Linked DNA regions of Sus scrofa. The protein of the gene in region 1 purifies or fractionates together with the protein of each later gene. This does not show direct contact. Links are inferred from orthologs where the notes say so. Each region holds a gene or a part of one and is shown in the gene's direction. Other genes may lie near its edges. The genes, in order: BTRC, USP47, TFAP4, NUAK1, GLI1, NFKBIB and NUDC.

What was found.
Region 2: the proteins of BTRC (region 1) and USP47 purify together in Homo sapiens (affinity purification with mass spectrometry; 5 studies listed by BioGRID and IntAct, counting the BioPlex papers as one, with this or other methods). This does not show direct contact. The link is inferred for Sus scrofa from reciprocal best matches to the Homo sapiens genes BTRC and USP47.
Region 3: the proteins of BTRC (region 1) and TFAP4 purify together in Homo sapiens (affinity purification with mass spectrometry; 4 studies listed by BioGRID and IntAct, counting the BioPlex papers as one, with this or other methods). This does not show direct contact. The link is inferred for Sus scrofa from reciprocal best matches to the Homo sapiens genes BTRC and TFAP4.
Region 4: the proteins of BTRC (region 1) and NUAK1 purify together in Homo sapiens (affinity purification with mass spectrometry; 3 studies listed by BioGRID and IntAct, counting the BioPlex papers as one, with this or other methods). This does not show direct contact. The link is inferred for Sus scrofa from reciprocal best matches to the Homo sapiens genes BTRC and NUAK1.
Region 5: the proteins of BTRC (region 1) and GLI1 purify together in Homo sapiens (affinity purification with western blotting; 3 studies listed by BioGRID). This does not show direct contact. The link is inferred for Sus scrofa from reciprocal best matches to the Homo sapiens genes BTRC and GLI1.
Region 6: the proteins of BTRC (region 1) and NFKBIB purify together in Homo sapiens (affinity purification with western blotting; 4 studies listed by BioGRID and IntAct, with this or other methods). This does not show direct contact. The link is inferred for Sus scrofa from reciprocal best matches to the Homo sapiens genes BTRC and NFKBIB.
Region 7: the proteins of BTRC (region 1) and NUDC purify together in Homo sapiens (affinity purification with mass spectrometry; 3 studies listed by BioGRID and IntAct, counting the BioPlex papers as one, with this or other methods). This does not show direct contact. The link is inferred for Sus scrofa from reciprocal best matches to the Homo sapiens genes BTRC and NUDC.

The regions. Positions count from the first base shown.
Region 1 is NC_010456.5:112,562,764-112,566,263, forward strand, and holds part of BTRC (F-box/WD repeat-containing protein 1A), read left to right. Parts: intron 1-493; coding exon 494-590; intron 591-1,297; coding exon 1,298-1,435; intron 1,436-1,902; coding exon 1,903-2,021; intron 2,022-3,500. UniProt on the Homo sapiens protein: Substrate recognition component of a SCF (SKP1-CUL1-F-box protein) E3 ubiquitin-protein ligase complex which mediates the ubiquitination and subsequent proteasomal degradation of target proteins. Recognizes and binds to phosphorylated target proteins.
Region 2 is NC_010444.4:47,465,394-47,468,893, reverse strand, and holds part of USP47 (ubiquitin carboxyl-terminal hydrolase 47), read left to right. Parts: intron 1-1,587; coding exon 1,588-2,365; intron 2,366-3,500. UniProt on the Homo sapiens protein: Ubiquitin-specific protease that specifically deubiquitinates monoubiquitinated DNA polymerase beta (POLB), stabilizing POLB thereby playing a role in base-excision repair (BER). Acts as a regulator of cell growth and genome integrity.
Region 3 is NC_010445.4:38,046,348-38,050,495, forward strand, and holds the start of TFAP4 (transcription factor AP-4), read left to right. Parts: upstream 1-1,348; 5' UTR 1,349-1,570; coding exon 1,571-1,935; coding exon of another isoform or gene 1,936-1,994; intron 1,995-2,504; exon of another isoform or gene 2,505-4,148.
Region 4 is NC_010447.5:14,150,478-14,153,977, forward strand, and holds part of NUAK1 (NUAK family SNF1-like kinase 1), read left to right. Parts: intron 1-3,222; coding exon 3,223-3,374; intron 3,375-3,500. UniProt on the Homo sapiens protein: Serine/threonine-protein kinase involved in various processes such as cell adhesion, regulation of cell ploidy and senescence, cell proliferation and tumor progression. Phosphorylates ATM, CASP6, LATS1, PPP1R12A and p53/TP53.
Region 5 is NC_010447.5:22,742,825-22,746,324, forward strand, and holds part of GLI1 (zinc finger protein GLI1), read left to right. Parts: intron 1-364; coding exon 365-529; intron 530-1,008; coding exon 1,009-1,239; intron 1,240-1,972; coding exon 1,973-2,240; intron 2,241-2,654; coding exon 2,655-3,500. UniProt on the Homo sapiens protein: Acts as a transcriptional activator. Binds to the DNA consensus sequence 5'-GACCACCCA-3'. Regulates the transcription of specific genes during normal development.
Region 6 is NC_010448.4:47,702,280-47,706,443, forward strand, and holds the start of NFKBIB (NF-kappa-B inhibitor beta), read left to right. Parts: upstream 1-1,364; 5' UTR 1,365-1,461; coding exon 1,462-1,640; intron 1,641-4,164. Other genes in the region: SIRT2 (NAD-dependent protein deacetylase sirtuin-2), read right to left, coding at 114-160, 1,006-1,021. UniProt on the Homo sapiens protein: Inhibits NF-kappa-B by complexing with and trapping it in the cytoplasm.
Region 7 is NC_010448.4:84,237,489-84,241,494, forward strand, and holds the start of NUDC (nuclear migration protein nudC), read left to right. Parts: upstream 1-1,206; 5' UTR 1,207-1,314; coding exon 1,315-1,395; intron 1,396-3,778; coding exon 3,779-3,856; intron 3,857-4,006. UniProt on the Homo sapiens protein: Plays a role in neurogenesis and neuronal migration. Necessary for correct formation of mitotic spindles and chromosome separation during mitosis. Necessary for cytokinesis and cell proliferation.

The DNA.
Region 1 (3,500 bases):
TACATAAACAAAGACTAGAAAATGTGATCTTTGTGGCAGAGGCATTCCTGCTGCCCATGATGCTGGCTCCAACTGACACTGGCACAGCTTTACTCAGTGGAAAAAAGGCTGTGGGGCATGTTCCTAGTTCAAAGATGGTAGTATCATCACTAACAAAATTTTCAAAGATAAGGCCAATTACAGAGATCTTATTAGACCAGTAGGTGAATTCTGACCATAAGCATTCCATTTGTCTATTGACATAATGTTTCCGAAGACCTGACACTCTGATGTTCCGCATTGGAAATCATCATGTTTTATCCAAAAACAAATCATTTGAGCCCAGAGAGTTCCTCCTGATGTGGGACTCCTGACATCAAGCTTAACTTCATACCTCTCTGGAGATTATAACTACAGATTATATGGAATGGTAACTGTGAAAACACTTTAAAGAAATATGAAGTTCCTTGTAAATGTATAATATGATTTTTATTGGGAAATATTTGTTTTTTAGGGGACAGTATTTATTCAAAAACAAACCTCCTGATGGGAATGCTCCTCCCAACTCTTTTTATAGAGCACTTTATCCTAAAATTATACAAGACATTGAGGTAAGAATATATGTATATTTGGGCATTTGCCAAATACTAGAGAATCATCAACATTCTTCAGTAACAGCAGTGTTATAGCAAACCCATTAAGGTTTATTGATGTGGGTTAAAAATCAGTTTCTTCACAAGTGAATAGGGAAGATAAAATATAGTAAATTGCCAAGCAAAATTTTAAAGCTTTTAAGTTATTCACTGATAAATACATGAAAGAGAGTATGATAATAGCTTTAAAACTGTTGAAGTTGCACTTATAAGCTGTCATTCAAATATCTTCTGAATTGAGCCTCTGTGGAAGCTCACTGGTAGAAATGGCTACCACAAATGTAAGATGAGCACTGAGCAGGTAACCTCATATGAGTCATAGCAAGTGGCAAAATATTTTACAACTTTAAATAGTGGCTTTTTAAAAATATCTTTAGGGAGTTCTCTTGCGGTGCAGCAGGTTAAGGATCTGGTGTTGTCATTGCAGTGGCTTGGGTCACTGCTGTGGCTCAGGTTCGATCCCTAGCCCAGGAACTGCCACATGCCGTGGGCATGGCCAAAGATTTTTAAAAATAAGAAAGTTTTTACATTTTTAGTATGTGTTAAGTTCTGTGTATCCAGTAGAGTAGAGCACTGAGCATTTGTCATAGGTTGCCATGAAATTCAGATGAGAGTTTAGTTCCCTAAAACTAATTACAGCTTCTTTACCCATTCCTTCCTCTCAGACGATAGAATCTAATTGGCGATGTGGAAGACATAGCTTACAGAGAATCCACTGCCGAAGTGAAACGAGCAAAGGAGTCTACTGTTTACAGTATGATGATCAGAAGATAGTAAGTGGCCTTCGAGACAACACAATCAAGGTGAGGTCTCTTCAGTTATGGGAAGGTGGCTGAAGGGGTGAGGGGGACTACAATCCCTAAAGCAATCCAAAGCATAAACTCTAAGCAGTATTTCCAGAAAGTAAGTGAGAGTCCCAAAGCCAAAAATCGTTTCCTTTAAGGAAAAGTACCTGCTTACCCACAGAAACACATGCAAATGGGTAGTGCTAAGGTTAAATTCTCTTCTTGAAGTGCCCTGAATGGGCTATTAGTCTTTTGGCCCTCACATAATTATAGGCTACCCCTGTTTCCTTAATGAAAAGGATCAAGTCTGCATTAGTACTGAAGCCACATATATATAGGTGCTTCGCTATACCTATAGAGAAGAATGCATTCCACACTACTCTGGGCTTTGATTCTTTTGGGGACTCAAACACAAAATAGAGCCAGCAAGTCTCTGCAGCACCCCATTATCATAGTGATCAAAAGGATCTTGTTTGCCATCCTAGATCTGGGATAAAAGCACATTGGAATGCAAGCGAATTCTCACAGGCCACACAGGTTCTGTCCTGTGTCTCCAGTATGATGAGAGGGTGATCATAACTGGATCGTCGGATTCCACAGTCAGGTAGAAAATTTCAATAATCTTTAGAACTCTGAAATGTCAGGTGTACTCTATTCTGTCTTAGTAATTTTGTATATATGTGCATGAACATAGTTCGAAAACTTTATAACTAAAGAATAAACCATCAGCTCCCTCCATAGTTGTGTTAATCTAGAACTAGAAAACTTGATTTAGGAATGGTTATGATAAGTTTACATTTCTGCACATTTAAGAAACTATATATTCTGTTTTAATTTGGGGGAATCATCTCTTATAGAAACGTGGTAAACCTTGCATTTCTTACAAAAACCACCTCACAGGGGAATGACATGAGTGGAATGGAGCCTTCCTTTCAGGTGGTTATAGCTATAGTGCAGGCACGCATTATCTCCTTTAAAATGTGTACAGGTGAGCAGTACTCTCTCTTTGCCAGCCCCTCCCCTGCTGTCCCTGCAGTTTTTAATTGCAGGCTTCACTCAGGGAGGGGGCTTCAATTTCCAGAGGCATTAGTAATTTGATGACACAGCCATTATGCTGCTGGAGTCCAGTGTAGCTTGAGTTCTGGGTACCAGCAGCACTGCTGGAAACCTCTGTTAGGAATTTTGCCTTGAGCTAAAGGGTTTAGCAAACATAATGCATCAAAAGTAACTTTAAAAAAATAGAAAAAAAAAAAAAAAGCAGTTAACTGCATTGTTAGATTCTCTGAAGTTAAAAGTTTACCTTCCAAGTTATCCTCTGTAAATAGAAAAGGCCATTTCTTTTTCTTGTCTTTTGACTTAAAGGCATAGCAGACTCAGTTCTTAGAGTTATCAACATTTAACATTTATTGATGCTTATGGAGTGCCTCAAGGAAGCTGAAAGTTAATAGAAGCTAACATCATTTCTAGGATAAGGGAAAAAATGATTTCCTGAAAGAGGGGGTTAAACTGGAAAAAGAAATAAAATGTGTTAGTAAAACCAAAGTAAACGTACAGAAGTAGAGTGGTCAAAGCAAAATATATCCTCACACAGCAGTCTCAAGCTATTCAAGGGTCCTGCCCTCTGCTGCGAAACCTATATATATATTGGGGTGGCCATTCTTGATACCTACCCTCATTTAAGACACAGAAATGGGGCCTTAGATTTAGGGTCTAGGTAATCTTAGGCCTTGACCTGTGTGGTAAAAACCAAGATCCAGAGTCGTCAAGCTCAGATCCATAGTACTGAGTCATCTGTTAGAGAAGTTTCTTGGCCTCTATCTGTTCTAAGACCTGAGGGCTGCCTCTTGGGACCACCAGTGCTGCAGTTATTAATTAAATATATCAGATTGTGGAGTTCCCTCATGGCCTATTGGTTAAGGATTCGGCATTGTCATTGCTGTGGCTCAGATTCGATCCCTGGCCTGGGAACTTCTTCATGCCATGGGTGCAGGCAAAAATACATATATGCGTGTATTTCTTAAATTTTAAATTTTTCTAACAGATTGAGTGTCAGAAGCTTTATAGTCATCTCGAAGTCTGGGGC
Region 2 (3,500 bases), on another chromosome or scaffold:
TTTTTCTTTTTTGGGTGCCCCACAGCATTTGGAGTTCCCAGGCCAGGGATCAGATCTGAGCTGTAGTTTTGACCTACACTGCAGCTACAGCAATGCCGGATCCTTAACCCTCTGTGCCAGGTCGGGGATCAAATCTGTGTCCCAGGGCTTCAGAGATACCACTGATCCCTGGCCTGGCATGTTGATCTTTTTATTTCATCTTTTGATATCATTATGTGTTCCATCACTTATCATTTTTCTGTTTTTGTTCCTAATGCCATTGGTTTACTCTGAATAAATTGCATCAAAATTTCCTTGTTTGCCATTTTTTATTTATCGCCATTTCCAGTCTCATTCATCTTAGTGCAGTTTGGTCTTTTATCACCTTTAACCATTTTTTAGTGTTGTTTTCTTAATTCTAATGTGTAATTTTTATTCACCTCTAGTTTCTTCTAATACTTTTGTGTGGTGTTTGTGTGTATAAGATTAAAATCCTCTAATCTCCCTAATACTGTTTTAGGGTAAAGAATGGGAATGCTACAACTTTTTTCTTTAAATAGTTAACTAACTCCTGAGTTATAACATTTATTGAATAATAATCTTGCTATAAAAAATTCAAAATACTCTTCATAATTGCAATATTTGTGTATACACATTTCATTTTTTAAAAAGACTTTATTATGGAAAATGTCAGACTTATACAAAAATACAGAGAATAGTGTAATGAGTATGTACTATCACCCAGCTTCTGTAACTATCAAGTCATTTCATGTATATTTAACCACTGCTTCCCCCAGATTTTTTGAAAGACATTCCCAGTATCATGTCATTTCATCTATAAACAGTCTGAATGTATATTTTCAAAAGATAAGAACTTTTAAAAAACATAACCAATTACATTAATACACCTAAAAAATTAACAAAAATGCCTCATTATCAAGATATCAACCAGTATCTTGGTGTTCAGATTTCCCTGATTATATTAAAATTTTTTTCCAATAAGATTTGTTTGTTCAAATCAGGATCCAAACAATGTCCATAATATCTCTCAAGTCCGTTTTATTTTATTATTATTTCTCTTTGGCTGCGTTCACGGCATGCGGAAATTCCCAAGCCAGGCATTGAAACTGAACCCCAAGCAGTGACAATGCCAGATCCTTAACTGCTAGGCCACCAGGGAACTCCTCTCCAGTCTATTTTAATGTGAAGATTCCACTATGTGTTTTTTTTTGTCTATTTGTAATTTATTTGCTATAGAATCAAGTCGTTTGTCCATTACATTATTATATATAATCTGGATTTTGGTGTCGCATTCCTGAGATGTTTTTGCACATATTCCAATAAATAAGATGTCTGCACGCACTTGTGTGTTGGGGGCGGGGGGACACGGCATCTGTCTTAGAACAATTTTTTGACTAATTACAAAGATATGTAAATATAATATTTATTTTGTTTAGCCTCCAGAAACAATGGATGTGTCCTTTAGAAACATCATCTCAAGTTATCTAGCTTATTGTGCACTGTCTTATATTGATGTGTTATTATTCCTATGATGTATTGAGAATGTCACCTAATTTAATGAAGTTAATTCTCTGACTTACAATTTAGGTGTTTGTTGAAAGTTCTGAGACTGTGGATCACCAGATGGCCTTTACAGACTCTCATTTATGGAAACTCCTGGATCGACATGCAAATACAATCAGATTATTTGTTTTGTTACCTGAACAATCCCCAGGATCTTATTCCAAAAGGACAGCATACCAGAAAGCTGGGGGTGATTCTGGCAATGTGGATGATGACTGTGAAAGAGTCAAAGGACCTGCCGGGAGCCTAAAGTCTGTGGAAGCTATTCTAGAAGAAAGCACTGAAAAACTAAAAAGTTTGTCGCTGCAGCAGCAGCAGGAGGGAGATAATGGGGACAGCAGCAAAAGTACTGAGACTAGTGACTTTGAAAACATTGAATCACCTCTCAATGAGAGGGACTCTTCCGCATCCGTGGATAATAGAGAACTTGAACAGCATATTCCAACTTCTGATCCTGAAAATTTTCAATCTGAAGAACGATCAGACTCAGATGTCAATAATGACAGGAGTACAAGTTCAGTGGACAGTGATATTCTTAGCTCCAGTCATAGCAGTGATACTTTGTGCAATGCAGATAATGCCCAAATCCCTTTGGCAAATGGACTTGACTCTCATAGCATCACAAGTAGTAGGAGAACTAAAGCAAATGAAGGGAAAAAGGAGACATGGGATACAGCAGAAGAAGACTCTGGAACGGACAGTGAATATGATGAGAGTGGCAAGAGTAGGGGAGAAATACAGTACATGTATTTCAAAGCAGAGCCCTATGCTGCAGATGAAGGTTCTGGGGAAGGACATAAATGTATGTACTTCATAAGAAGAAGGCTCCTTGAAACAGCCTCGGGTTTTTGTTTTTGTTTTTTTTTAATCAGTTTATTTAAATTTTTAGTTAAAAATCAGCTAAGAGTCAGATACTTTGTCCTACAACTACCTATAACTTCCTGGATTATAGGATTATCTTCTGTTGCCTTTGCTTTCATTTTTGTTGCATTTGATAGTGAATGGTGTTCTTAGACCTGTACATTAGACTTATATACAGGTCTAATGATGTCAGAACTCCAATGAAATGATTTTAAAAAGGGGGGAGAGAAAATTAAGAATTTTTTTAAAGAAGGAAAGAATTATGATAACAGTGCTTAAAAAAAAAGCTAGACATTTTAGAAAATTTTACGTTCAGTACCCAGAAAAAATTTTTATTTTTGCAGCTCTTCCCCTTTTTCTATCACCTAAAGCAGACAGCACCCTTCCCACTCCCCCTAAAAGGGCCATAGCTAACCAGGAAAGTCGGAGAAAGGAAAGGATCTTTTTTTTTCCTTCAAGTTTTCTTAAAGGAAGCTTCAGGCAAGATATAAACCAGAAATTAGCAGGGCAACCAGGTTCAAGATTCAAAATCTTTCTTCTAGTATTAAAAAATAGCTGAAAACCTAGATACCTTGCATTAGTCTGGAAGGCAAATATAAATATTATCCCTTATATTTTTATATTTTAGCTTTCAAAACAGTTGTTTGTTCTCCCTTTAAGTTTCTCTGAAATTAATAAAGTAAACATTGATATCCTCACTTGACTGGTAGGAAAACTAATGAGTGACTTGCCCAAATATACATATATAGCTAGTAAGTGGTGGAATCATTACAAGAGGCTTCTAATTGAATGCACTTGCTTCCCATTACTTTTAGAGGAGAGTCCTACTCTTCATCTATCTCTTTATCCAACTATTGTTATTTCCTAAATCCATGCTAGGTGCCAGGCCCTCAGAGATGACTGAAATTGTAGCCTTATGCTTCATCTCATGGGGAGAAAGTACACAAACAACCACTATAATAGTTAAATGCTATATGATGCCTGTAATCTCAAAATTGGGTCTTTTAAAAGGAAGTGATAGAAATTATGAAATCAGTAGTAAAAACACATAAATTTGTCCGTGGTTAACATAAATT
Region 3 (4,148 bases), on another chromosome or scaffold:
ATCTGAGACAGCAGAGGGCTCCAGATGGCATGGCGCAGAAATGGGGAGGCCAGTTTGAGTGACAGTGTGCTCAGGCTGGGTCAAGGCAGTTCTGTAGGAGAAGAAAGAGCAGGGGCCAGGCAGACTTGTCCCAGCTCTCATCATTCATTCACTCAGGCACTGTGGACAGTGATCAGGGCATACAGTTGGGTGGCTCTGTATCCTATGTTGTCCCCACATGCCATCCTTCCTGTCCACACAGGGAAGCCCCCCGGGGACTGTGGTGTTACATGGTCCAGGATCTGTACTTACAGAAACAGCCCAGCAGCTGACTTTGAAGGATTGGAAACTATACCCGTAAAAGGGCTAGGCATCTGCAAGATACTCGGAATATCTAAGAACAATAACGGTTCCTACTAAAACCAGAAATCCTTGTCTTGAGTAGGAGTATTTCAATTAGAAGGCGCGATTTGGGCGGAACCTGGAAGGCGAATAGGTTTGAGGAAGGCGGTGGGCAGGAGGGAGGACATTCCAAGGCAGGCGCGGTCTTCCTGAGCCAGGGGCCAACCTCCAGGAGCCTGGGGAGGGGACGCAGGAAGGAGGGGGGGGCGGAAGCCAGCCGCCACGGTGTTCCCCACCCCCAGGCCTTCACCCCTAGTAGAGAGCGCACCCTGGCGGAGGAGCAGGTCCCGCACGGGCTTCGCCACGAATGGGAAGCTGCAGCCTTCCGCCTACCGCGGCCAAGCTGGGGCGAGGCTCGGGCCGTCCAGCCTCCCCGCAGAGGGGTGAGAGGTGGAGACCCCGCAGCAGCCACCGGACCTCCCGGCCGCGCTGGCAGCCTGCCTCCGGGGCCGCTGCCGTCCTGGCCCGCCTCCCTTCCCTCCCCGCCAGGGCCCCTGCTTCCTAAGGCAGCCCCAGGATCCCAGGCGCCCGGCGCGCCCCCCTTTGCCCTCCCTTCCTTGGCTCCGGGATTCCCAAGCTCCGGAGCCCAGGCCAGACGGCCAGCAGCGGGCAGCTGGGCAGGGAGGGAGTGAGGGAGGGGGCTGGCCGGCCTCTGAAGTCGGCCCCAAGTTACATGTGGGAAGCGGTAGCTGTGACGCAAGTTTCCAGGGGGCCCTGGGCTCGGAGGGAGCGCGCCAGAGCGGCTCCTCTCCGTGCAGTTGCAACCGTGAAAAAAGCCCAGAGCAGCACCGCAGGCCACCTTCGCCTTTGCCGGGCCCAGCTGCGAGCCCCCGCACCCCGAGGGCGGCCAAGCGCGCAGGGTCTGCACCCGGCGGTCCCCGCCGGACCCCAGGCGTACAGGCTGGGCTCCCTCGCAGTGGCTGGTCTTTTTTTTTTTTTTTTTTTTTTTTTTTTTGCTACGCTTGCCAACCTGTCAGCTGATGGACCTCATCACCCATAGTGGCGCATGTAGCTCGGCCGCAGCTCGCTCCATTCACGCTGCGTCCCCCAGGAGGACCGGCGGCCCCCGCACCCCCAGCTGGGGGGTAAGGCCCTCAGACCCCGACCGCCACTCGGCCCTGGGGGCCAGCGCCCCTCTTGCCCCAGCCTCGCGCCGCCCTGGGGGCGCTGCAAATAGTCCTTTGTTTACATGCAATTCCTTACTCCGCGGAAGGAGGCCGGGGGAGTGCTGAGTTTTCACCAGCTGTTTCCCGCCTTGAAACAGACATCTGATCAGCTGCAAACACACACACACACACACACACACACACACACGCACATACACACGCCCGGGGAGGCAGGCCGGAGAGACCTCCCTCCCGCCCCTCCCGCCCGCCTCCCTCCCCTCGCCGCCGCCGCAGCCAGCATCTGGGACCGGCCGATTCTGCACCTCCGTCCGGCGCTGCCCTTTGATTCGGATTTCCATCTTGCATTCTCCGGCGGACCGCGGGACCTGGCTCGTGCAGAGGAGGGGGGCCGATCGCTATGGAGTATTTCATGGTGCCCACTCAGAAGGTGCCCTCTTTGCAACATTTCAGGAAAACAGAGAAAGAAGTGATAGGAGGGCTCTGTAGGTGTGTACTCCTCCTCCCCCTCACCCTCTTCCTATGATTGCAGCCCCTGGCCAGCCCGCTCCGGCGGGCGCGCGTGTGCGCACGCATGGCCCGCGCCGCGGACCCTCTCGCCTTTCTTAGCCGCCGGGGCGGCTGCAGTCCCGCGCGCCGGGCTCGGGCCTCCCAGGGACCCTCCTCTCTCGGAACGTGGGGGCCCCGAACGGCCCCGGTCACTTTTGTCCGCTGCAGGCGGGCGAGTCGCGACGTTTGTAAATTGCAAACAGACCCACGTGGTTCTGCAGCAGTCCCGGCCATGCTTGGTGCTGGTGGCTTTCCCCCCCGCGCTTCCTCCTCCCCCCTCCCGCGGTGGCTTCCTTCCTCTCCCTCCTTCATCACTCTCTCTGGGCGCCCCCCTCCAAGGGGTTCTGGGGGGGGCCTGGGGCGCGCGTGGGGCCGCGGCGCTGGCGGCTACAATGCAGCCACGCCGCGGCTCTGGGCGCGGGGGGGCGGGGAGCCGGTGGTGTGAGTGTTTGCAGGGAGCTGGGCTGCAGCGGGGTCTGGGGGCGTGCTGGAGTTCGAGGGTGTGAGGGGGGTGCGGAACCCGAGGGGCCGGCGCCGCCCGCCGGGAGCGCTGTGGACCCTGGCACGTTGGCGGCCGCCAGCTCGCTCGCCGCCCGCGCCCGGGCGCTGTTTACTAGCGAGGCCTGGACGTGACTCTGCAGCCCTCTTGGAGTAGGCGGACCTCCGCGCGCCGCCAGGCGGGAGCTGTAGTTCTGGGCTCCGCGTCCCTACGGCATTGTGGGAGTTGTAGGCGCGCCAGGGCCACGCTTTCCCCGCACAAAGCTTGGACCCCGCGGGCGGGCTGTTGGAGGCAGGTCCGGTCGGGGGGCTCTCCGGAGAGGGGGCAGCAGAGTCCGCTTTTAGCCTCACCAAGCCGCTGCCTGCAGCACGTGGGTCCCCACTGCAAACTTTCCTGTCTCACGCCCCTCCCCCAGCCATAAACCGAAAGCATCTGGTTGCCCAGCCCGCTACCCAGTTGGGTGGGTGGTCCGAGGTCCGTCGCCCTCCTCAGGAGCCACCTTCTAAGTTTTGCCCGGGATCCTCTGGATCTCCCCTTCCCCGGAGAGTGATGGGTTAGCGGACACTTGTTAAAATTCACATGCCCGCAATTCCGATCTCTAGAAGGGCCCGAACATCTGCAGGTTGAACACAACCGGCAGGATGGCGGCGCTGCATGGGGGTGTTCTCTGCGTGTCCAACTTTGGGACCTGTGGCCCCCTTTCCTGCTCTAGTAGCGAAATGGCTCCCCAGGGCTGGAGCCACGTGCTCTGCCGCCCCGGGGCGGGCAAGGCGGGGATTGAGAGAGGAGGAGCTCAGGGCGGTGTGGCCCAGGCTGGTGGACACCAGGGCCCGTCAAAACCTGTCTGCGGGAAGGTTGCTGCACACCGCCGCCCCCGTCCCAGGGCTCCCACCTTAACTACGCTCAGCAGAGGGGCTCTGAGTGTTGGCCCTTCTCCAAGGTCCAGCTGGAGAGCTTAGCTGTAATAAGGGAAAAGAAGAAAAAATTCGGGAGCTATTAATATGCTGTAGAGACTCCTTTGGGGAGATTTTTCTGAGTCCTTAGCATCTTCCCCCGAGTGAAGTGGCTTTATGGCTTCCTGTGCGGGATGAGGACACAGGTCTGGAAAGGAAGAGATAAGGCAGGTGCTGGGGCTGGAACTTGAACCTTGGTCCCAGAGCTGCTGGTTGCTCAGAGGAGGGTTGGCCAATGAGGAGATGGGTTGAGCTGCCTCAAATGCTGCAGAGGACATGCGGAGACTGATCCCAGGCAGGCTTGGCACCAGAGGACCATAGGCTGCCTGGTCTGGGCCTTGGCCGTGTCCTCCCTGGGCCCCCTAGAACTCTGGCTTGGCTCTGTTTCTGTTCCATGCCCCCCTTGGAGGAGTCCAGCAGACCCATAGGGGTCTCCAGAGTTGGGCCTGCCCAGCTGTGAGATTGTTGTCAGCCCATGCGTTGGGTGTGGGGCTGGGGCCTCTGGGTTTGTTCATTTTCTGGGAGCTGCTGGGTGAGGTAGGAAGCTTGTCACGGATCGGGTGTGAGTTGGGTGGGACCTTCTGGCCGGATATACTGGCTTCTCAGGCAGGTGGACTTTGCTCCATCCCTCGGTGACCAGCA
Region 4 (3,500 bases), on another chromosome or scaffold:
AGTCAGCAGAGGACCAAGCATGAAAGAGGGGAGATGGTTGGGAAAGGGGTGGCCGGGGATGGGAGACAGGTGGACAGGATCGGGGTCTGTTTTTAGAGGTAGGACCAGCAGGACTTAGCGATGGAAGCTGTTTAGTAAACTCTTTGGCACATTGAACTGTGTTGAACTGAACCGTGTTTCTATCTCCTTGAGCCAGGAAAGGGACAAGTCTGCTCACTGAAACAGTCCTTTCGTCTGCATGAAGCCAGTGACCCACACCTTCTGATGGTCACTGAGGGGACCAGTGGCTTTGGCCTTCTTTAAGGGCACATCCGACTCTTTGGGGGTGTGAGGCTCTTTGTTTATTTCCCTCTCAAAGTACTTTCTGTCCTGCTGCACCCCCCACCCCGCAACCATTTTTAAAATTAGAAAACCCGCTGCCCTCTCCAGGGCCTATCACTCGTTCATTTTTAGAGCCTGAGCCATGCATCCTGAGGCAGGCTTTCCAGTTTCCAAAGCTGATTGTTAATGAAGAGTGCACAACAGGCTGAGATCCCTGGCAGGAGCCAAAGCTGCAGGGTACACCAAGGCCAGCAGACGCGGGAGCAGCCAATTTTATCTGGCTGTTCTCTCTCCTCCTCCTCCCTGCCCTCCTCCTTCTCCCTCCGTTTTATCAGAGAGGTTTGGCTGGACTTGAAGGAGCCAGAAAGAAACTGGAGGGGCCTGAGCTGCTAGCAGCCAGGGACGAGGTGCGGGAGGACAGGGGATGCTGGCTGGGGGCACAGTCCAGTTCATTGAGGGTGTCTGTGCATCTGGTCAGTGCTGGGCCCTCTGGAGTCCAAGAGTATTGATACCAACAGTAATAACATTATTGAGTGTGTGCCATGAGGGCAGGCCTTGTTCTGAGCACTTAACATACCTGATGTCAATAAATCCTCCCAACAATCTGGGAAATACTGATGTAATACCAAAGGCACAGAGAGGGCAAGCAACTCCCCCAGAGTCACACAGCAAGTAAGAGGCAGATCCAGGCATCTACTTAGGAATGCCTGATTCTAAAATGACAGTTTTTACTTTTCCAAGTCTAGGCTCAGAGTCCAGGCAGGGGAAATAAATATGTAATCAGCAAGTATATCCATGCAGTTTCAAAGTGCTGTGAGGTAAGTATCCATTAGCGCAGTGAGAGGTGGAAGGGAAGCAAGGCGGATGCCATATTTGAGTTCATTCTTATGTTTTTTTTTTTTTAATAGTTTTTTTTTTCCTTTTTATAACCACACCTGCAGACACCATATTTGAGTTCATTCGTGTGTTCTCTTTATTTTTTATTTATTTATTTATTTTTGTCTTTTTGCTATATCTTGGGCCGTGCCCGCAGCATATGGAGGCTCCCAGGCTAGGGGTCCAATCGGAGCTGTAGCCACCGGCCCAGGCCAGAGCCACAGCACTGCAGGATCTGAGCCTAGTCTGCAACCTACACCACAGCTCACGGCAATGCCAGATCGTTAACCCACTGAGCAAGGGCAGGGACCGAACCCGAAACCTCATGGTTCCTAGTCGGATTTTTAACCACTGCGCCATGACGGGAACTCCTGTTCCCTTTTTTTAAAATAGTTTTTTTTTTTTTTTCTTTTTTTCTTTTTGCAGCCACTCCTTTGGCATATGGAAGTTCCCGGACTAAGGGTTTCATCAGAGTTTGTGCAACACTGGATCCTTCACCTGCTGAGCAAGGCCAGGGATCAAACCTGTAACTTCAGGGACACTGTATCAGGTTCTTAACCTGCTGAGCCACAGTAGGAACTCCTTGAGTTCATTCTTGACAGATGAGTTGGTATTGCCCTGGCAGGTAGGATAGGTAGGAGTAAAGGCAGAAGGAAGAGCATGGAGGTGCGAACAGCAGTATGTGTGTGTGTGGGTGTGTGAGAGAGAGAGAGAGAGAGAGAGAGAGAGAAATAACAACTTGACATCAGATTGTGAACAATCTGGCTCAATTGTGAACAGATCTGGTATTGGTGGGCGGAGGGGGCCTGATAGGGAGTGGTAGAAGCCAGTGAGATGGAGGAGGTAGGCAGGGGTCCTACAGGGAACGGGAGGGTCTTGGGTACCCTACAAAGGTTTTTACACCATATCCCTTGGAAGTGATAGATTTCAATATGATGATTATTTTATCTTCGCTCAAAGGGCATCTTGTGTGAAACCCCCAACTGTGAAACAGATAGCATTGGAGGGGCTTTGGCTGCAGTGGAGCTGAGGACCTAGACTCTGTTCATGGTCTCCCAACCTGCCCCCTTGGGCATCTGCCTGGAGCTCCTAGGACTCAGGAGAGCAGCGTTTGAACATCAGTGTTAGAGAATATCAGCGTTGGGGAGAGAGACGCATTTAGTGCTTTGATTATTTACAGTGATAGTCCAGAATGCATTTAAGATGCTGTGAGTTCCCCCATTTAATAATATTAATTGACACCTTTTGCCAATGGGCATTGAGTGCTGGGGTACATCAGCCAATGAAAGAGATCAATCCTTGGAGTTCCCATGTGGCTCAGCAGGTTAAGAATCTGATTAATATCCATGAGGATACAGGTTCAATCCCGAGCCTCCCTCAGTGGGCTAAGGATTCAGCATTGCCGTGAGCTTCAACATAGGCTGTGGTTGTGGGGTAGGCCGGCAGCGGAGGCTCTGATTTGACCCCTACCGTGGGAACTTCCATATGACGCAGGTGTGACCCTAAAAAGAAAAAAAAGAGACAGCTCAATCCTCATTACATTCTAGTGGGGGAGACCAAAGAAATACACAGAATAGATGCATCAAAGGGCTCAAAAGGGTCTGGTGGCTGCATTTGGGACTTTGGGTTTTATTTTGAGTGGGATGGAAAGTCTGGAAGCTTTTGAATAGAGGCAACAAGTTCAGCCATTCATTTCAGGGTCTGGGTAGCTGGTCCATATCAAACGGTTACTCCCCATGATCTCATCCACAGGGGAGCCGATCCGATGGGAAGGGCTTGGGAGGAAGGAACCTGGTAAAGGGAGCAGGGTCCTCAGAAGAAGGCACGCTTCCCAGTCAGGTGACAGAGACAGCGATGATGTCACGGTCCACCTGCTTGGGAAGCTTGCTCATCCCCTCGTGGCGTTGATGGCCTGACTTGTTTGCCCCGTCCGGTGACATCTCCCTCGTCCCCTCTCACAGTCTCTGTATCATAAGTGAGCTGGTCGGGTAAACAGGCTGTCTGTGTATTGCCATTCCCCCGCAGTGTTCGAGAACAAAGATAAGATTGTGATCATCATGGAGTACGCCAGCAAAGGGGAGCTGTACGATTACATCAGCGAGCGGCGCCGGCTCAGCGAGCGGGAGACCAGGCACTTCTTCCGGCAGATCGTCTCCGCCGTGCACTATTGTCACAAGGTATGGCCCAGCCCTGCGCTGCGCTGGCCACAGGTTGTTAGGGAACCACGTGACTCTTTCATATTATAAAGGTGACATCTGGAGTTCCCTGGTGGCCTATTGCTTAAGGACCTGGCATTGTCACTG
Region 5 (3,500 bases), on another chromosome or scaffold:
CCCTAGACACTGTGCCTGCAGCTCTGCCTAATGGAGAGGTCCTGCCTAATGGGGACACGCTCTTCCAGGATGACCCCATCTTAAAACCAGCTGGGCTCACCAGGTGGGCAGATATGCTTTGGCTTGACCAGGAGCTGCTTACTGCCTCATCTCCATGTCCCTGCAGACAGAGCGCCTCCAGCTACTTCCGTTCTCCCAGCTCTCACCTGCCCTTGTTCCCGAATTTTGGGAATCCTGAAGCCCCAGTCCTCTCTCCTCTTGAGTTATATTCTGATAGATGTCCCTTTTGAGATTCAGGGTTCCACTAATGTCCATGTCCTTCTGTCTGAGAGTGATATTTTGACCGCCCCCCCATTTCCCCCAGTTTGAGGGGTGCCGGAAATCATACTCACGCCTGGAAAATCTGAAGACACACCTGCGGTCACACACGGGTGAGAAGCCATACATGTGTGAGCATGAGGGCTGCAGTAAAGCCTTCAGCAACGCCAGTGACCGAGCCAAGCACCAGAATCGGACCCACTCCAATGAGGTGAATGCCCCACCCAAGAGACCCTTCCCACTTAAAGAAGCCACCTACTGGGAGAATCCCCCATAAGAAATCCCTTAGCCCAGCACCCACTCCATTGAGGTGAGTTCCTCCCCACCCATACAATTCACCTGGAGGTCTCTCTGAAACCAAGAATTTCCACTTGCCACCCTTCCCCCTACCCTCAAGCAGCTAAAGACCCATTCTAACAAAGGAGACCCTGGTGCCTTCAACACCTGAGTTTATGAGGCCTCACAGACCTGGGTTCACCCCCTCATCTTGCCCAGGCCTGGGCTGTCAGTTTTTCATAATCTTCCCCTTGATCTTCTCGTCTTTTACTGCAGGGCCCTACTCTTCCTTAGGTGCTATGCGTTCCTCCCTGACTCCCCTCGACCTCACTTAACGCCAACCCTTTTTCCCATTTCTTCTGCAATCTCCTGCTTTGATCTTTTTGCCCGCTGTCTTCACTCTCCACGCAACAGAAGCCGTATGTGTGTAAGCTCCCTGGCTGCACCAAACGCTACACAGATCCCAGCTCGCTCCGGAAACATGTCAAGACAGTGCACGGTCCTGATGCCCACGTGACCAAGCGGCACCGAGGAGATGGCCCCCTGCCTCGGGCCTCGGCTCTTTCCACGGTGGAGCCTAAGAGGGAGCGGGATGGAGGCCCCGTCAGGGAGGAGAGCAGACTGACTGTGCCAGAGGGTGCCATGGTGAGGCGGCCCCCTGCCTCCGACCCCCTGCCTGCCTTGCCGACATCTTTCTAGACCCCATCTAACTGGTCCACCCCCTCCAACGTAAATCTCTTCTGTGGCCAGACCCCTAGTCTCTTATCTGAGTGTTGCTCCTTGGGGTACCTTAAACCTAGGGGATGAATTATTTAATTGGTTCAACGAACTTTTATTTATTTTTTAAACAGGTAATTTTTTTTTTTTTTGGTCTTTTTGTCTTTTTGCCATTTCTTGGGCCACTCCCATGGCATATGGAGGTTCCCAGGCTAGGGGTCGAATCAGAGCTGTAGCTGCCGGCCTACACCAGAGCCACAGCAACACGGGATCCGAGCTACGTCTGTGACCTACACCACAGCTCATGGCAACCCTGGATCCTTAACCCACTGAGCAAGGCCAGGGATCGAACTCGAAACCTCATGGTTCTTAGTCGGATTCCTTAACCACTGCGCCACGACGGAAACTCCTCAACAAACTTTTATATGAAACTTAGTATGTTATTCTAGACCTTGTACCTATATAATTTCACATACTCTTCACAACAACTTCGTGAGAAAGGAACTTACTCTCCCCACTTGCAGATGAGGAAACTCAGGCATAGAGAAACTGTCTAAGGTCATAAGCAGTCACTGGGACACAGGCTGTAGCCACTCACCAAGTTCAGGGAGCTATGGGGAAGGGAGGTAGGTGCCAGCCTTAGCCCTCATCTTCCCCACAGAAGCCACAGCCGAGTCCTGGAGCCCAGTCCTCCTGCAGCAGTGACCACTCCCCAGCAGGCAGCGCGGCCAATACAGACAGCGGTGTGGAAATGACTGGAAATGCAGGAGGCAGCACTGAGGACCTGTCCAGCTTGGACGAGGGACCTTGTATTGCTGGCACTGGTCTGTCTACTCTTCGCCGCCTTGAGAATCTCAGGCTGGACCAACTACATCAGTTCCGGCCAGTGGGGCCCCGGGGCCTCAAACTGCCCAGCTTGACCCACACTGGTAAGAGCTGGCTGTGAGGGGTGGTTGCTGAGCTGAGATTTGGACCTTCCCTGGGGTTGGAAAGAGGACTTCACCCTTCAGGGCTGCTATCTAGCACCTTTGTACAATTAGAAAAAGGTCCCCTTTCTGTAAGATAATTTCCTTCCATCTATTAGAAAATTGTTGTGATATACAAAATCTATAGTGTGAATGCTGTCCCCTAGGATTGTGCAGTGTACAACCTGTAGGACTGTTCATAGCAGTTCTGAATTCCCAGTGATCCAAGAGCGGAAAGGGAATGGGAGGAGACAGAACCTAATGCTTAGAGTTAAGGAGCCTTCCCTGGGATTCCAGGACAAGGCTGTCCTGTGGGAGAGGCAGGGTGAAGTTCAGAGGGCTCCTTAGCCACCCTGCCTTTTCTACCTCTCACTGCAGGCACTCCCGTGTCCCGCCGGCTGGGCCCCCCAGTTTCTCTTGACCGCCGCAGCAGCAGCTCCAGCAGTGTCAGCTCAGCCTATACTGTCAGTCGCCGCTCCTCCTTGGCCTCTCCTTTCCCCCCTGGCTCCCCACCAGAGAATGGGGCATCCTCTCTGCCTGGCCTCACGCCTGCCCAGCACTACCTGCTCCGGGCAAGATATGCTTCAGCCAGGGGAGGTGGTACCCCACCCACAGCAGCACCCAGCCTGGATCGGATGGGGGGTCTCCCTGCACCTCCCTGGAGAAGCCGAGCCGAGTATCCAGGATACAACCCCAACGTAGGGGTCACCCGGAGGGCCAGTGACCCAGCCCGGGCTGCTGACCGCCCTGCCCCAGCTAGAGTCCAGCGGTTCAAGAGCTTGGGTTGTGTCCACACATCCCCTACAGTGGCAGGAGGAGGACAGAACTTCGATCCCCATCTCCCAACCTCTGTCTACTCACCACAGCCCCCCAGCATCACTGAGAATGTCACCATGGATACCAGAGGGCTACGGGAGAAGCCAGAGGTTGGGACCTCCATGATGGGCAGTGGTCTGAACCCTTATATGGATTTCCCACCTGCTGATACTCTGGGATACGGGGGACCTGAGGGGGCAGCAACTGAGCCTTACGGAGTTAGAGGCCCGGGCTCCCTGCCTCTTGGGCCTGGTCCACCCACCAACTATGGCCCCAACCCTTGCCCTCAGCAGGTCGCCTATCCTGAACCCACCCCAGAAACATGGGGTGAATTCCCTTCCCACTCTGGACTGTACCCAGGCCCCAAGGCGCCTGCTGGAACCTACAGCCAGTGTCCTCGTCTTGAAC
Region 6 (4,164 bases), on another chromosome or scaffold:
GGCAGGGAGCTCAGGGCCCTGGGGTTCCCATCTCCCCTCTGCCACCTCCCTCCCAGGATGGGGTGTGGGAAGTCCATCTCTCTCCTTCCCGCCACCCTTCCGCCCCATCTCACCTGAGCCTCTTGCACCTTCCCTGTCTGGGTCTCCACAGGGTCTGAGGCTGGGGGGAGGAGGGGGAGCAGACGTGGTTAAGGTGAAGGGAGTGGTTAAGGGGGAAGGAAGGGCTTCAAATTAGTGGGGCAGAGGGATCAAGAAAACTCACCAACCTGGTCATACCGGGTGGGGTGGGGGTGTAAAATGGAAGTGGAGGAGGGCGGCAATGGGGAAAAGCGGACCTTATCAGTGTGCAGACGGCTGGGAGGAGAGGTTAGCGAGGGACAAAGAGGCCGGGACAGGAAGGTTTAGGCGAGGGAAGAGAAAGTAAAGCACGCCCGGCATGGAGGAAGACTTAGGAGGAGTTAGGAAGGGTGTAGTAGTGTGAGAGTGTGTGTCATTAGGTTTACAAGCAGTGGGAAGCCATAGAAAGGAGAGAAGACATACTCTGCCTGTTGGCAGGTTTGGGAGAAGAGGTGCAGAGTGTGTGTGTGTGTGTGGTGTGTGTGTGTGTGTGTGTCGGGCAGGGTGGGGTTGGTTTCGGAGAAAAAGGAAGCAATAGGAGGGGACCCTGGCATCCTACAGTTGCTACTAACAACCAGGTACCCTTAGCAACCAGGACCGCGGCATCTTAAGTCCCTAGCAACGAGGGTCCTTGGCAACTAAGGTGCGAGAAACATGTGATCATTAGTAACTTGGGGGAAGTGGCAAACGGACCCTTAAAACCTAGCGACCCAGAAAGCCACCAATCTAGCAATATGGATCACTTGGCAACTGCCCCCGGAATCCCATTTTCCCCCCCATGCAACCCCCATCTCCTGCCCCACCAAGCCTGCCCTCGGGCCCCGGGGCCTACGACCCTCAGCTAGGCCCCGGTGCAGCCCTGCCCTCCCACCGGGGTCCCCGACTCACGATCCGGCTCGGCCATGGGCGCGGGGCGGGGGCCCTCGGGACTGTCACCGACTGCTCTGTCCCGTGACGGCACCGGAAACAGGAGGGGGCCGAGACAAGGCAGAGAACTACAACTCCCAGCAGCCATCGCGATCGCATATAATGCTCTGCACCGCGTACGGAGCGCGCCCCCACGCAAAGGCCGGACTACGAGTCCCAGAGGGCTCCACGTCCACAGCCATGCTGGTAAAGGACTCCGGGAAAGTGTGGGAAAAGGTAGAACGCCGTAGTCCACCTGAGTGCTCTGATTGGTCATCATGTGGCATGGGGGCGGGGCGTGTACTACTTAGCCCACCCTGATTGGATGAGTCAGGGGGGCGTGTTGGGGAATTCCCCGCAGGGCGGAAGCTCGAGAATTCCAGGCAGAGCCCAGCGACAGGCGGGCTGCCGCTGGGGGCCCCTGAGGCTTCGGGGGCCATGGCTGGGGTTGCGTGCTTGGGGAAAGCTGCGGACACCGATGAATGGTGCGACAGCGGCTTGGGCTCTCTGGGTCCGGACGCAGCGGCCCCCGGAGGACCAGGCCTAGGCGCGGAGCTGGGTCCGGGACTATCGTGGGCGCCCCTCGTCTTCGGCTACGTCACTGAGGATGGCGACACGTGAGTGAACCTTAGACTGACAAATCGGGCCCCAGGGTCCCACATCTCCAATCCTGACTTCCCAACCTTTCAATCCTAAATCTGTCTTTTGATGCTTGACTTCCTGACCCCAAGACTGGCCTCTGATAAAACCAACTTCTTATCTAATTTTGATCCTAACCCAATAATGTCTGGCCTTCCTTTCTTGAACTGATTCTCAGAGTTATGCGTTCATTGATCAGACCCACATTCAGTGATCGATTCCACATCCAAAACTCGATTTGACCTTCCTGACCCCAGTCCTTAGCCCTCTGTTAGAACTGTAGTTCAGACAGGCTCCTCCTGACCTTTATCCTCCAAATATGATCTTTGGTCCTCAGCGCCTAACTTACATGAGCCTTAGATTTTATTTCGAAATTAATACTTGGCTTTTGACTCCAGGATCCCACCTTCTGAACTCTGATCTTCAAAGCTTACATTCAAAGAGAAAATGGAAACTACATAACAGCAGGAATTCATCTATTAAACAAATAATCCAACACCTTCGACTTTCCAGGAACTGTTTTAGGTGTGGCCTAAAGGCAGGGAGGAAAGCCCAAAAAACATTTGTCTTGTGGAGCATACATTCTAGTGGGGGTATATAGACAGAAGGGCAGATAGACTGACAGGGAGGGAGGAAGGGTAGGAGGAAGAAAAAGGAAAGAAAAGGAGAGAGAAGGAAAGAGAAAAAAAGATACACAGACCTAAAGTAAGAAAGGGAGAGAAAGAAGAAAGGCAGGAAGAAACGAAGACAAAAATTAAAAAAAAAAAGAAAAATAGCATGTCAGACGTTAAGAAGTTCTTTGGAGAAAAATAAAGCAGGGAAGTGAGACAAGTAGATTATCTGGGGAGAACATTGCACATAGAGGGAAAAACAGTTGTAAAGGCCCAATTGAGGGAATGTACCTGGGGTTTTTGAGTATCGTGTTTACCGCTGTATCCCCAGTGACCCAGCAGCCCCTGACCCATAGGAGGCACTCAGGAAACAGTGATCTTCTCAAACAACCAGCTGTGGTTTCATTTATTTTCTCTTTTTCTCTCTTTTTGCTTTCTATTTTGTTGATCTCTGTTCTGACTTATTTACTTTCTTCTCTTATTTGGGGTTTAATTTCTTCTTTTTCTCGTTTTTTAAGATGGAAGCTGAGGTCATTGATTTGAGACTCTTTTTTTTTTTTTTTTTTACGCATATAAGTGATTCATGCTGTAAATTTCCCGGAGTAGTGCTTTAGCAGTATCTCACCAATTCTGATGTGCTGTGTCGTTTTTTGTCATTTTGTTTTGTTTTGCTTTTAAGGCCTACCTGCGACATACGGAAGTTCCCAGGCTGGGGTCAAATCGAAGATGCAGCTGCCGGCCTACACCGCAGCCACCGCAATGTGGGATCTGAGCCCTATGTGCGACTTAGACCACAGCTTATGGCAGTGCCAGATCTTTAACCCAGTGATCCGGGCCAGGGATTGACCACATCCTCATGGATACTGGTTGTGTTCGTTAACCACTGAGTCACAACAGGAATTCCATGATGTGTAGTGTTTTTATTTAATGCAATATACTTTCTAATTTCTTTTTTGATTTCTTCTTTGGTCATCGGATTCTTCAGAAGTATGTTATTCAGTTTCCATATCACAGGCATCTTTCTTTCATTGGCTTTTAGTTTAATTCTGTTGGGGATGGAGAGCCTAGCATGACTTGAATCCTTTCAGACTTTTTGAGACTTGTTTTAGGGCCAAGAATATAATGTGTGCATTTGAAAGAATGTGTATTCTGCTCTGGTTGGGTGTAGTGTTCTCCGAGTGTCAGTGTTTCCCTGGTTCTTTTGTTGCTCAAGTCTAGATTTCTACTTGTTCTGTCAATTATTGAGAGCCGGGTATTGAAATCTTCAACAATAATTGTGGATTCGTGGCTTTCCTTGTTGTGCTATCAGATTTTGCTTTGTGTAATTTGATGCTCTATTATTAGGGGCACAAATATTTAGGATTATTAAGTCCTCTTGTTTCACTGACCTCTTTGTCGTTATGAAATAACCTTCTCTAGCCCTGGTAATGCTTCTTGCTCTGAAATCTACTCTGATATTAAAATACTTACTTCTGTTTTCTTTTGAATGACTGGTGTTACCATGGAATATCTTTTTATACCCTTTAATTTTAACCTATTTTAAAATTTATATTTCAAGAGTGTTACAGGCAGCATATAGTGGGTTTTGCTTTTTTTTTTTTTTTTTTGGCTGTGCCTGTGGAAGTTCCCGAGCCAGCAACTCAACTCGAGCCACAGCAGTGTGGCACAATGACAGTGCTGGATCCTGAATCTGCTGCACCACAAGAGAACTCGAGGTTTACTTTTTTATTCATTCTGACAGTTTCTGTCTTTTAATTGCAGTGTTTAGACTGTTTGCATTTAACTTAATTATTGAAATGGTTATGTTTATCTTGTTTTTAGCTTTTTTGCTTATCTCTTTTACCTTTTTCCTCTTTTTCTGCCTTTTAGAATGAGCAAATTTTGTTCCATT
Region 7 (4,006 bases), on another chromosome or scaffold:
AAGTTTTGCTGTCAAAGAGATTTTAAAATTGGGATAGGAGTTCCCATCGAAGCTCAGTGCTTAACGAATCTGACTAGGAACCATGAGGTTGCGGGTTCGATCCCTGGCCTTGCTCAGTGGGTTAAGGATCCGGTGTTGCAGTGAGCTGTGGCGTGGGTCGCAGATGCAGCTTGGATCTTGCGATGCTGTAGCTCTGGCGTAGGACGGTGGCTATAGCTCTGATTGGACTCCATGTGCCGCAGGAACGGCTCAAGAAAAGGCAAAAAGACAAAAAATAAAATAAAATAAAAAATAAAAAAATAAAATTGGAATGGTAGGAGGAGAAAAGTTTGTGTGGGGGGGTCATAGAAGAATAAAAAAAGAAGTGGCATTAAAGTATATTTGTAAGTTAAAAGGGATGATCCAGAAGAAAGAAAATTGTGATGCAGATTCATTGAGTAGGGAAAAAAAAAAATTCTGATGCAGGAGAATTAGGAAAGGATAGTAAGAGTAGAATCCCTGAAAAGACTAAGATGATGAAATTCAATACAAAAGTAGAGGGTTTGGCCTTAGATGGCTGGGGTCTGTCCCGCACAAAAGTGAAGTTCGAATTTAGCACTCATTACATAATTTGCATGAAACTGCGCAAAATGACAATGCGGGGTTGGGGGTGGGGCTCTTGTTAAAAAATATTAAGAGTCTCAGGACTGCAGCAGAAGAGCATTAACCCCAGCACCAAGGGACTTTCTAAGTCCGGGTCCCCTGCGACTGCACAATTTGTATGGAGTATGTGATGACAACAGGGGTAGGCTGTCTTTTGGGGCAAGTTCCCTTCTCCTTTCTGGGCCTCAGTTGGCCGATGGAAAACTTGGAAGAGATGATTAAGAACGCTTTACCGTTCTACAAGCTCAGCGGTCACTCTCAAGGCGTAAATTCAAAGTTTGTGCTTTTTCAACTTTCAGGCCCGCGTGATTTGAGCCCAGGGTTTTCTGGAAGGCTCCAAAAGGTTCCTGGTGACCATAGCAACTCACACCAAACTCAGAGGCCTTCGACTCCGCCCACCGCTCACGGACGCGCTCTTTGATTGGCTCAGCAAGTCGACCAATGGTCAGTGAAGCGGGCTGCTTGCCGCACGGTCAATGGCCGCTGGCCACAAGGGAGGCGGGAGGAGAGAGCAGGCGGGCGGGCCAAGGCAGCGGGGCGCGTGCGTGTTTCCGTCTCCGCTGCGGAAGGCGGAGGACTGAAACCGTTGCACCGGACGCGACCCGAAGGCGCCGAGAGCGCGGGACGCGAGAGCAGAGCTCAGATTTCGGAGCGTGGCTAGCAGCTGGCAAGATGGGTGGAGACCAGGAGGAGGATCGTTTCGACGGCATGTTGTTGGCGATGGCGCAGCAGCACGAGGGAGGCGTGCAGGAGGTAACGACCCGCTCGGCATTGGCTTGGCCTGGCCCACCCAGGCGGCCCAGCCACTCTCTTTCCTCCCTTCGCTGCCTTCGAGAGACGAGATCCACCCCTGGGCCTTGCGGGCTTTAGGATCCCGCATTCTCATTGCACCCCAGCTTCTAGTCTGGCCTCCCCGCCGCAAGTCTTGCGCTCGGACCAGTTCTGGATCCCTGGGGCCCCTCAGTAGTTACCATCTTAACAGCTCTGGCATCCCTTTATCTGCCCCTGGGAAGGCCCGAGTCTTGGAATCCCTTCCCCCTCTTTAGTCTCCAACCTGCTTCCGGCCCTTTTCCCCTCTGGTGGCCGCCCCCAAAGAACATCCTTTAGGATGTTCTAGGCATTGAGATTTGCATGTACCAAGACTTGGGGCGAGCGGAAGAATGTATGCGATGTGTGGGGGTGGGGGGGGTGATATTAACACGTGGTCTTTCTAGATCTTGAATGAGAGAATAGGAGGCGTGTTTTGCATTTCCTAACAACTTGGACTGTTTCATGTCTCCAAGCTTCAGTTTCTTTCTTTGAGACAGAGCTACGAATCCTTACTTCCTGAATTTGTAGGAGAGTAGTGTCTTGAAGTGAAGGACAGTGAAGAATTCTCGGTAATCAGACTCGAACATTCAACAAGTGTTTGTTGAGTAATTGATGTGTGCAAGAACATAATTCATGCTTAGTGACCAAACCCAATAACATGTGTAGGAAAAGGATAAGGACCAACTAGTAAAGATTCTGGAGTTGGTTTTTTGGACGATGGAAAGTTAAACGTAGCAAAACCTATCAAGATTAGTCTTTCTTTAAAGAAACTGAAGGAGCTTGCCCAAGCTCATCCAACAGGCTCCTGGCTTAGAGGGGACCAGAATCCTTAGGCCAGTGTGTGCTTTCCACAGTCCATTGTTGATTCTGTGTCTCATTGGAGCCTTCCATTCCCATTCTCATTCAGGTCCCTGTGGGAAGAGTGCTACTAATTTGCAGATGTGAAAGTCTCCCTTCTCCTACCCCCCTAAATTGTTGTTGCACCTGGATTTGGAAGTGAGTTCATTTTTGAGTGAATTGAAAAAGTGTCCAGAAGCAGGAATTGAAACTGTTGAGATAAATTCTAGCGTCAGATTTAGAACCTCTCACTTGGGCAAATAAAAGGGCTTATTTATATGTGCCAACCCTCAGTCATCACTAGATCTTTTTGCTCAGCAAAAGTTTTCTGAGCATGCACTCTGAGCCAGGTCTGGTGCCAGGCCTTGGGGATGTACACAGAGTCATGGTTCATGGTGCCTACTTGTGAGGAGCTCTCTCTGTGGCCGAGGTTCTTTAGCCAGACGCTATTAAGGACCTCACCTGCATGTCTTCCTTTGGTCCTCTCAAGGATCCTCACGTGTATCCCTAGAAATTGGTCCTGCTGCTATTTCTGTTTCATAGAGTTAAGACACTGTCCCCAGGTCACAGAGCTAATGTATATCAATCTAATGGCCAAAACGATGCTCTTTTTTTTTTTCCTTTTTAGGGCCACACCCATGGCATATGGAAGTTCACAGGCTAGGGTTTGAATCAGAGCTGCAGCTGCCAGCCTATGCCACAGTCATAGCAACGCCAGATCCAAGCCATGTCTGTGACCTGCACCACAGCCCACTGCAACGCTCGATCTTTACCCCACTGAGCAAGGCCAGGGATCGAACCCATGTCCTCATGAATATTAGTTGCGTTCATAAGCACTGAGCCACAACGGGAACTCCCAAACCGACGCACTTAACAACTTGACTGCACTGATGCACCCAGCCAGAGTTAGCTGGTTTTGGAGTTCCCTGGTGGCCTGGTGGTTATGGATCCAGTGTTGTCCATGCTGTGGCTTGATTTTGATCCCTGGCCCCAGGAGCTTCTGTAGCTAACCTCCCTCCTCCCCTCAAAGAAAAAAACACCAGAGTTAGTGGGTCTTAACCTTCTTTGAAGTGGCCTTCTTTGTTCTCTCCTTCCAGCTCTGCCCTAGTAACTCAGCCAGCGCCACTCTGGATGGGCTTTTTGCTACATGGAGAGGAAAGCTAGGCCCCAGGCATTTCAAACCTGGATGCAGTGCCCCATATCCTCAGGCTGCTTCTAGCATCACAAAAAATGTGAAATACACATATGCATATACACAAGAAATGAGAATTCTCCCTTTCTGTTGCTCTAGATCAGGTTAGGTTAGGCTTCCTGGCAGAAGTAACTAAGGCAGGGCTGTTGGGGGGGATGTTTTCCCAGTTGGGAGGCTCAGGGTTGAAATGGTCCAGTCCCAAGTTCCTTCCTAGGTGAAGGAGGTTGCTTGTGTGTGGTTAAGGGGCTCCCTGTATGGCACCTCTACAGCTTCAGTCTTTTGCCTTCTGTCTTTCAGCTTGTGAACACTTTCTTCAGCTTCCTTCGTCGCAAAACAGACTTTTTTGTTGGAGGAGAAGAGGGGATGGCAGAGAAGGTGAGTGTTGGCGAGCTTACCTGGCCTTCCTTTGGCATAATAATAACCTTTCGCAGAAGTTAACACGCCAAGGGCAAGAGTTGGGGAAGGAAAGCATTTACTGTCATTTATTGAAGTCCCTTTCCTTGCCAAGTGCTTTATCTACCCTGC